Saccharomyces cerevisiae S288C: one gene and its partners. Changing the gene in region 1 together with any one later gene gives a genetic interaction. Each region holds a gene or a part of one and is shown in the gene's direction. Other genes may lie near its edges.

Region 1 (3,843 bases):
AAAATGGAAGTTATCAATATTGTAAAGAGAAGCATTTACAAGCTTTTATTTTTCTTTTTAATTTCCACTACTGGTTCTGCTTTAAAATGTTGTTTTATAATTTATGTACATTTAGGCCTATAGAAGATTCTTTCAATAATATGCTACACATTCTTTTATTTTTCCATCATATGTTGGAGTTTATGCCTCCTCGGCAGGAGTTGGGCGGTGCGAAGAGAAGAAAAAGAGTGAAACTAAAAAAAGGAATCTGCCTTTGCATAAGTTCAAAAGTGCAATTTTAGTGTTGGATTTAAACGGGAAAAATTGAAATGGCCATCGAAACAATACTTGTAATAAACAAATCAGGCGGACTAATCTATCAGCGGAATTTTACCAACGACGAACAGAAATTGAACAGCAATGAATACTTAATTCTTGCTAGTACACTGCACGGTGTATTCGCCATCGCGAGCCAGCTGACTCCGAAGGCATTACAGCTAACTCAACAAACGAACATCGAAAATACCATCCCATATATACCTTACGTGGGCATGTCCAGCAATAGGAGCGATACAAGAAATGGAGGTGGCAATAACAACAAACACACTAATAATGAAAAACTGGGCAGTTTTAAAGGAGATGATTTTTTCAAAGAACCATTTACGAACTGGAACAAGAGCGGATTGAGACAACTATGCACGGATCAGTTCACGATGTTCATATATCAGACCCTAACCGGCCTGAAGTTTGTCGCTATCAGCTCCAGCGTCATGCCCCAGAGACAGCCAACTATAGCCACCACCGACAAGCCTGACCGACCCAAGAGTACATCCAATTTGGCCATCCAAATAGCCGACAACTTCCTAAGGAAGGTTTACTGTTTGTATAGTGACTACGTCATGAAAGACCCATCTTACTCAATGGAAATGCCTATAAGATCTAACCTGTTCGACGAAAAAGTCAAAAAAATGGTAGAAAACCTACAATAGACGCACGCGCCATCGGAAGATAAACGCATTCACACCAAGAAAATAAATACTACGTACTTCTAGAACTAAGAAGAAGTTGCCGCTCTCCGTCTCCTCCTTCATAAATAGGGATAGCTTTTACTACTACGTACGAAAAAAGACCACACTGCGACGGATCCTCTGCATCCCAACACCAGCGATAGAAAATGCGCCGCCTATATCGTCATCTTGCTTCCTTTTTCTTACTCCCTTCCTGCCCTGGAAACACCATACAATCCATCACATCATATCCTGCCAATGCACTATTACGCAGCTTTCGGCACGTGAGTACGGAAACACCAGTTCGGAACCGGGTACACAATAGGGATAGTCAAAGCTGTCCATTTTTTCCGCTGATGGATGACTGATACCAAAGTGTAACCCAAAAGGGGTAGTCGATCCTACTTTTACCAGTTACGTTAAAGGGACCAAAACGTGGGGAAGGGATGCCGCCACCACCACCGCCACTACCCCCGCCAACATGGCCTAACTTAGCAGTCCTCGCTTGTGTATCTAGGTCCGCGTCCGCTAATTCGCGCGGCTTGCCACTTAACCCCGTCCAGTTAATTTGCCAAGCAGCGGCCGCACGTTGGAACGTTTTCGCCGATTTATTTATTATTATTTATACATGTTGACGTTGGTGCCCTTTTGTTTATACTGGAGCCTAAAACGTACCTCAATTAAATTTAGTGTGCCATATTATAGTGCTATTAAACCTTTATTTTTATTTTTAATTTTAAAACTGCTTTGGTTCTCTCCCTCCCTTACCGTTGCCACCTTAAGACTCACTGATATTTATTCATACTTACAAGTGCTATAAGAAAAGACTTGATTTATTAGCTTTACAGCGTTTTTACATTTGTGTCACTGCTATTATATTTTTGTTTACCTCTTTTTGTTGCTGGTGTTGGCGCTACCATTGTTTTTTTGTTTTATGAGTTACGTTTACAAAAGTTCTTAACATTTACTGTACGATAATATACTAAGGTGAAATACTAAAGTAAAATAAAATAAGAGAAAGAAAAAAAAAAAAAAAAGAAAAAAGTAATGATGATGTTCCATAATTGCAGAATTAATAACTACTTAATAACTTCTCAAATTGGCGAAGGCGCGTACGGTCTGGTTTACCGTGCCTTAGATATTCGTACCGATAGACAATACGCTATCAAAGCGGTTGTTCAAAGTTACGGTGTTAGCAAGGAGGCTGATATGGGCAATGATAAAATACACAAAAATAGCGTGAAATTGCAAAAGAAGCTCGCTAAACTGTTCAAGGAATCGAAAAACGTTGTCAGGGTGCCCTCTATAGATCTAGAATCAATTGAGAATATGTCAGAAGAAGATTTTAAAAAGCTGCCCCATTATAAAGAGATTTCGCTACACCTAAGAGTCCACCATCATAAGAACATTGTCACCATACATGAGGTGCTACAATCTGCAGTCTGCACGTTCATTGTCATGGATTATTACCCAACAGACCTATTCACGTCTATTGTAGATAACAGACATTTTGTCACTAATGGACTGCTAGTAAAAAAGGTTTTTCTACAGATCTGTTCTGCTCTTAATTATTGCCATGAGCACGGCATCTACCACTGTGACATCAAGCCTGAAAACTTGCTACTGGATACAGAAGATAACGTTTTCCTATGCGATTTTGGTCTATCCACTACTTCCACATATATAAAGCCAAATGTTTGCATTGGTAGCTCGTATTATATGCCCCCTGAAAGAATCTCATTTGATGGGAGAGTTTCCAGCTCTAAAAGTGGGGGACATAAGTTGGGTAAGGTTTGTCCCTCATGTAATGGCGATTTGTGGTCATTAGGTATCATCCTTATCAATTTGACATGCATCAGAAATCCCTGGCTGAAGGCTGACAAAACCGAGGATAATACCTACTATTATTTCACTAAGGATCCCAATATACTAAAGCAAATCCTACCGCTTTCCGATGACTTTTACTCATTATTATCTAAGATTTTACAAGTGAATCCGAAGAATAGAATGAGCTTGCAAGAGTTGATGAAAGAAGTTAGTTCTATTACAAGCTTCACCAATGAAGGCCCGTTATCAAAAGTGCCGCCTCTTTCCAAGTCTGTTTATGAAAAGTTCGTTAGCCCCGTCGATAACACGAATGAGAATTTGTCTCCAAAATCCTACGTGTACATGCACGATAGTAAAGCTGCCAAGAATTTATCTTATACATCTTCAAGTGAGGAAGAAGATGGAATCAAAGAAGGGATAGACGATGATAATGGCAGTCGCAGTGGCAGTTTCGGAACGCTAGACACAGACACTGGATTGCATTCTTCGTTCACAAGCACTTCTTGCGAGTCCGATAACGAATGTTCTAAGATTTCCAACAAATTTTCCTTGTTCGAAAAAAAATTCAACGAACTTCGCATGAGTTCCTCTTCTTTAACTAACTAACCCCCTCCTTTTTGGCACAAAAGTGTACTACACATCTGTTTTAAGCCCACAATTGATAGACCTTCTCTTGATGATCATCTGTTTTCCCGAAAATATTACTTGCCAAAGCAAGTTGTAGTTATATTCACACTTCCGTTATGACCCCCTCATCCGTTTAATGTTATTTGTTTTTATGGTATTCCCTTTATTCATTTTTTTTCTTGCTTTTTTTTGTTGATCCCTGTAACCCCTTTTTTTTTTTTGGAAGTTGCTATTATTATTCATTCACATTTGTTCTGTCTTTGTTAATTTTCCAGGTCACCGTATTTAATTTCTATATAACTGTTTCTAATATTTACTTCGTTTTATCCAAGCGTTATTTACTCAATATTCAAAACTTTACTTTTTACCACCTGTATAACATCTTTTTCAATTTGATAAAACG
Region 2 (2,782 bases), on another chromosome or scaffold:
TCTTGTTCCTCTTCCAAAAAGAAATGCTTTTCCAAATACAGATGCGATTAGTAAATCAAATTATAAACGACAGTGAGTTGCCCTTTTGCAAGTACCTTCAACACAAACACTTTATTTATTCATCGAGGTCCCCTTGTAAGGGAGAATTAATGTTACGATACAAGAAGTTTTCCGGGTAAGATTGCTAAATAACGAATTTGATGGTTACATACAATGAATTATTTACATATACAAGCTAACGATTAAAGGATATTTACATGACTGGTTGGCTTGGCTTCCGTGCCACACGGTAGAGTTCAAATAGGGCTGCCGCAGTGATACCTTGAATCCGTCTTGCTTGGCCTATGGTCAATGGCTGTACGCGGTTCAAGAGTAGTTTGCATTCAGTGGAAAGCGTGGGTAACTGACGGTAATCGTAATCTTGCGGCAACAGCATATTTTCGTCTGCCTGAAATGCCTTCACAAACTGGTTCTGTTTGACAATGTAAGGTTCGTATTTACCTTGAATGTTAATTTTGGTGACAACATGCATTGGGATGTCCAGCAAATTAATGGGTAAATCGGGAATGCACTCGTAGAGTTTATGTAGATCCATATCTTTGAATCTGAATATTTCCCAAGCAGATCTGTTTTCAGCCTGTGGCGCGATATTAGCCTGTAGTAAGCTAGACCATTTTTGAGAGCTTAGCTTGAAATTTTGAAGCGCCCGTATTGTTTCATCATATAGGTGCTTGTCTCTTGAATATTGACTTAAACGGACAGGAGATATAATCCCTAGTTGAGCACCAATGGGCGTCAGTCTGAAGTCTGCGTTATCGGCTCTTACGCTGATTCTGAATTCTGATCTGGAAGTAAACATTCTATATGGTTCTATGACGCCATTATTGATTAGATCGTCAATGAGCACACCAATGTACGCTTCGGACCTTTTCAAGACCAATTGCTCCCGTTCTTGGCGCGATAGTAATCCTGCATTGATACCTGCAATGATCCCCTGTGCAGCGGCTTCCTCGTAGCCTGTAGTACCATTTATTTGTCCGGCCAAGAATAGTCCATCCACCAATTTTGTTTCCAAGCTAGGCTTTAATTGCCGTGGGTCTACGTAGTCGTATTCCACGCCGTATGCCGGCTGCAAGATCTCAACGTTTGCCATGCCCGGGATGAGCCTCATCATTTGTAACTGGACATCCTCAGGCATAGAATTGGATATCCCGTTCGGATAAATGACGTCGGAGTTGAAACCTTCTGGTTCCAACCATATCTTATGGGAAGATCTATCAGGAAACCTTAGAATCTTAGCTTCGATGGAGGGACAATAGCGGGGGCCTTTGATGGTCGTGTCCTGAATATGAATGGATTGATGCAAGTTATTGCGCAAAAAGTCGTGCATTTGAGGTGTGGTATGTGTGCCAAAGCAATCCAGTTGCTTCGTGGGTTCGACTGACACGGTTTCATTCAGAAAACTCATAGGGACAGGCAACGCATCTCCCTTCTGGACCTCCAGAGCGCTGAAATCAATGGATTCCTTGGCCAGCCTAGCCGGAGTGCCTGTTTTCAAACGCCCTAACTGAAAGCCCACCTCATTTTGTAGAGTATTGCTGATCCCATATGTTGGCTGCTCGCCAATTCTTCCTGCTGCAATACGCTTGTCGCCGATGTGAATTTCTGCACTGAGAAACGTACCTGTAGTGATTATGACCTGATCTGCCCCAACCTGGGTACCGTCATCCAGAACCACACCTTTGATGACCTTGTGGCCACATCCGGGGTCATACAAGATCAAGTCAGCAACTTTGTTCTGCAGCAGAGACAAGTTGGGGTGTGCTTTCTTGTCGGAAAGTTCCCTTTGCATGTATTTCTTATATAACTCTCTGTCTATCTGGGCTCTGGGCCCCCACACAGCAGGACCCTTGCTTCTGTTCAGCATTTTGAATTGCACTCCAGCGAGATCAGTTACTTTGCCCATCAGCCCATCGAGAGCGTCGATTTCCTTTACAAGGATGCCCTTACCCACTCCACCAATAGAGGGGTTGCACGAACACTTACCAATATCTGTTAACGATGGTGTAATGAGAGTAGTATGCGCACCAGTCCTAGATGACGCAGCTGCAGCTTCGCAGCCTGCATGTCCAGCACCGATGACCACGACCTGTGTCTTGGTTGTGGGTTGGAAGCTTGTCAAAGAAGATATGGTCAACCGCCTCCTGAGGACCTGTAAGGGAAATGAAGTACACGAAGACGCCAAGGTTGTTACACGCAGCATCGTTCTTTGGGGCGTTTAGCTGGTATTCTGCAGAAACTATTGGATGCCCTCAAGATTTAAGTGAAGAATTAAACCGCACTTATCCGTCTGTGAAAGATGCCACCATACGTTACCAACCATAAAGAAAGTGGCCGCACACAGGTACCTTAGAGAAGCCACAAGGGCTCGATTACACGGTGGCGATCAAGAGCCATACAAAAGTAGAAGACCCCCGGATGAAGAAGCACCTCTTTGTACGTTCCTTCTGCAACGCCATATCTAAGTAACAAGAAAGAAGCCACAGCATTACTACAACCCCACACAGGGACAGACAGATATCATAAACTTGAATCTACTATATCATACTCTAATAACTACCTAAGCGTTAAGAAATCGTCTAATCTTCAACTGCCGTTGTTCATACCGTGACTAATAGTGGCAGTAAGCAGCTTTTTTTTTTTTTCAAAATTTTTCATTTTTTTTTTCAGTTGACTCGCCCCGTCGGTAGTGACAAGTGCCGACTGACTCGTGTCCTGGTAA
Region 3 (3,843 bases), on another chromosome or scaffold:
CAACAATGATAAATGTGAATTCGGCACTGGCTTGCAATTGTTGCTGTTACCAATGCTGCTTTTTGATAGCGAATATTTCTCTAAAATCGTGTCATCCAATAGTAAGAGACCAGTATGCTTTCCAAATACAAATTGCTTAGCTTTTAATAGTCTATCAGTAAGTTCTTGTTCTTTGTTATCTATCATTAAACTAAATAGTTCTGTTGCACTGGTTGCATATTGAAGAATTTGCTGATGTGCACTTGGGTTTGTTATGGCTAATCCTGCGTAAACATGCCACTTGTTCGAATAGATTCTTAGTGATATATTAACTTTCACATTTTCTAGGCCACCGTACCATTTGTTTACACCCAGAGTCCAAGGATAAATCTTTATCTTTGCCCACGCAGATCCCATACTTAAGAAAGCAGCATGTGTCACAGCTTGTGTATCAGCGGTAATCTTGTCATGCTCTTCATATGTCAAATAAACTTGCTTACTTTTCAAACATGCCATAACAGAATTAACGAACTCAAAAGATTCTGGGTACTGTGATCTGTGATTGATAATAACTAGTGGTTGGCCTTCAGTATTAACTTTAGGCCCATGAAGGGAATGCACGGTAATGATGTCGCAGTCCTTGGGTAAATACTTTTCGAAAGCCTCGATTTCCGGCAGCTTACAACTCGTTTGACCCCCAACAATTGTTCCAACCTTAGAAGATGGTCCATACGTTGCGACGATCTTACTAATATTGGATGCTTCAACACTATAGATAATATAGTCGCTTTGCCTGGATACCAAATGACCATTTTTCACCAGTTCGAATTTAGCTGAGGCATATTTTTCTTTCAGTTCATCATAATATTCTTCCCTATCACAACATATAACACCCCATCCAGCATCTGTAAATTTATTAGCGTATAATAGGCCCATATCACCCAGACCAATTATACCAATGACTTTTGTGGCTTTCCATTGCTCAATCTTATCCTCTGATACCATGTTTATCAAGTGGATATGCTGTCCTCTTTCCTTCAAGTGCTACGGTATTCTTGTAATTCTAAAAACTTTTCTTGGTTTGAATAATTCCAGTATCACTTTCTTCAAAGCTTATTTTCATATAAGGCCTCAAAAAAAAAAAAAAAAAATGACACATAGCTGAAGTGATAAACTTACTACACTGGTATAACGCTTATTAGAGGAAATCTAATAATAAACTGTTAGCTATAAATAGTATACAATAACAATGAGCGCTAAAAGTATGACATATTAAACATAAATACGCAATTCTACACCGCTTACAGCCCTTTTCTTTAGTTGGGTTTCTTTATCGTCATCTTCAACATCACTTTCCATGTCGATATCAGCTTGGCCTTCAGTTATTACTTCATCAAGAACTTCTATAGTTTTAGTGTAAACCTCTATTTTCTTGTTCTTCTGATCTTGAAAATGACAACCTAATGCCAGTGTCTTTTCTACAGCTTTACCCATACCCAAAACCGCAACATAGGATGATCCTTGCTTATGAACGCTATCGAGAAACTTATTTATTCTTTTCAGTGCACTAACGTATGGTGTTGTAGACTTAACGAAAATTGTTGTGTGTATTTGCTTATGCGTTAGAGTTTTCAAAGATGGGTGTTTCGTTACTCGTTTGGTAGATTTGTTGTGTGTATTCTTTTTGAGTGCCATCCTGGGTGCAGAGTTCTCTTTTCTTCTTTGACCGTCAATCTTATTGCTTATTTCTGAATAGTTAAGTAGCTCTTTACAGAGAGTGAAATTAAACAAATGGTCAAACAATCGCAGGAAAAAAATGAAGAAAAAACATTTTTTCGAAATGACATGAGAAGACTATTGATGTACTTCTCATGATTATTCAACCATATTGAGCTGGACAGATTTTTACCAAATTGATTTGGGAATTTTAGACATTATTGTTGTCATACCATTTTCATATTCAATTCAACAGCCTGGTGGGGAAGTAAAGAAATTATCCCCGAAACAAATACCCTTTTATGCTTATTTCCAAGAATTACTGGAACACCAACTGCAAGGGTAAACAGAATTGATGAAGAAGGTGCAATCACTCGAAACTACTTCATACTTTCTCTTTTCTTTCATTGATCTTAATTTAGTTCAGTGGACATCATTTTGCTAATTTCAAGGAAAGAAATGGACACAAATTCTAAAACCAAAGTACAAACTGAAAATAAAAAAATTAAGGCGAAATTTATACATAATCATGGGCAAAAGCCCTCTCTTATCCAAATTACACCTCCAATGATTTCCAGCACTCTGTTTCACGCATATCCACTACTACTAATATTCGACAATGCCTTAGCGAATATAATGTGGCTGTCCGACGATAAATGTTTAACATTCATTTATCTAACGAGCATATGGCTGACCATAAGTTTTTTTATCCCCGTTGAAACAGAGGCTAGCCATTTTCTGCCATTTACAAAGATTTTGAGACTATGGTTAGGCATTATAAGCGGGGCATTTCTATTCTTATCATTCATGTATTATATTGTTTCATTGATAGCTTCGTTAAGAGACACGGAACCTCCTACATTGGATGAAATTGTCGTGCTACTAGAGTCTGTGTTGGATAAACTGGAAGTACTGAGAAACGAGCTGAATGTTTGGAAAAAATTAAAGCTTTCATTTGATGGCGTCAATAAGGAGTGTTCTGGCAAGAGGTTGTTTTGCAGATTATTCTTATTCGGTACAATTTTTCAAATTATTATCATGAGATACATATCACCGGGAACTTATACTAGATTTTTTATTATTACCGGCTTGATATACAATACGAGTAGTTTTCAAGCTACCTTAAGGCTACTTTGGAGGTTTACTGCTGTTAGGAATTTCTATTATTTGGGGATTGAAAGTTTTAAAATTTCGAGTTTCTTACCAAAACACTTAAAGATGGAACAAATTATTCCTTTATCTCAAGGACGTGCAATCACGGTGCCACTGGTAGAGGTATTGCCTAAACTACTTCGGGACAAGAAGGGTGATGACCACATTCATATTCTACAGCTTCTACTTAATGAGCAAAAAGATAACTTTGGTAATGAAGACCTTAAAATACTAGAAATTGAAGTATACGAAAATCAAAGAAGGTGGTATCAAAATAAAAATTGGAGTACAAAATTACTGCCGTACGAAAGACAAAACTACTGCATAGAAATTAAAAACACTGATGGAACTTTAACCATGAGGAGTTGTTTGCCCCCAGATGGACTTGGTGAAGAAGAATTACCCAATAATTGGCATTGGATCAATGATAATTGGGACGGAACTGATTGGATATATTCAGATTCAGCATGGAAAGAAATTGGACAATACAGTTCTTTGGAAAGTTTTACCAGGTCAAGAAAATGGAAACGACGCCTCTTCCATTTGTAATAGTATTGCTTTAAGCCTCTAAACTGCATATATAGTTGGTTGCCTAACATTATCATGATATGAAGAATTTTCTCATACTTTGAAACATAGGACAAGTAAAACTTTATAAGATCATGTGCACTTTGTGTATGTTATTTCATAATTTTCATTAAATTCTTATAACGGCTTATGTAGAAATAATTATCATTTTTATAATAGAAGATTGAATATAGAGGTAATGTATAAAGGGCACATAATGAAGCACTAGTGGTTCATTTAAGAAAGAATAAAGAGGGAACAATCCAAATAGACAAAAATTCCGATTAATCAAGGTCCATGTTTTCATCATTGTTGTCATCGCTATCATCACTTGCAGCGCGTGCCCTTCTTTGCTCAGCCAATTTTTCAGCAATATCATTCATTTTAGAAGTTTCTTGATTCGCTCTGAGTGCTTGTCTTTTTTCTTCC

The links.
Region 2: mutations in VHS1 (region 1) and YGL235W together harm fitness more than expected from each alone (negative genetic interaction), as found in Saccharomyces cerevisiae (3 studies listed by BioGRID).
Region 3: mutations in VHS1 (region 1) and PEX32 together harm fitness more than expected from each alone (negative genetic interaction), as found in Saccharomyces cerevisiae (3 studies listed by BioGRID).

Annotation. Positions count from the first base shown.
Region 1 is NC_001136.10:953,980-957,822, forward strand, and holds VHS1 (putative serine/threonine protein kinase VHS1), read left to right. Parts: upstream 1-2,033; coding exon 2,034-3,419; downstream 3,420-3,843. Other genes in the region: MNN10 (alpha-1,6-mannosyltransferase), read left to right, coding at 1-2; TRAPP subunit TRS23, read left to right, coding at 309-968; YDR246W-A (uncharacterized protein), read left to right, coding at 1,154-1,354; YDR248C (gluconokinase), read right to left, coding at 3,779-3,843. UniProt on the Saccharomyces cerevisiae protein: Probable serine/threonine protein kinase involved in the G1-S transition.
Region 2 is NC_001139.9:53,534-56,315, forward strand, and holds YGL235W (uncharacterized protein), read left to right. Parts: upstream 1-1,745; coding exon 1,746-2,282; downstream 2,283-2,782. Other genes in the region: tRNA modification protein MTO1, read right to left, coding at 254-2,263.
Region 3 is NC_001134.8:570,217-574,059, forward strand, and holds PEX32 (Pex32p), read left to right. Parts: upstream 1-2,154; coding exon 2,155-3,396; downstream 3,397-3,843. Other genes in the region: TYR1 (prephenate dehydrogenase (NADP(+))), read right to left, coding at 1-984; ribonuclease P/MRP protein subunit POP7, read right to left, coding at 1,252-1,674; adenyl-nucleotide exchange factor SSE2, read right to left, coding at 3,699-3,843.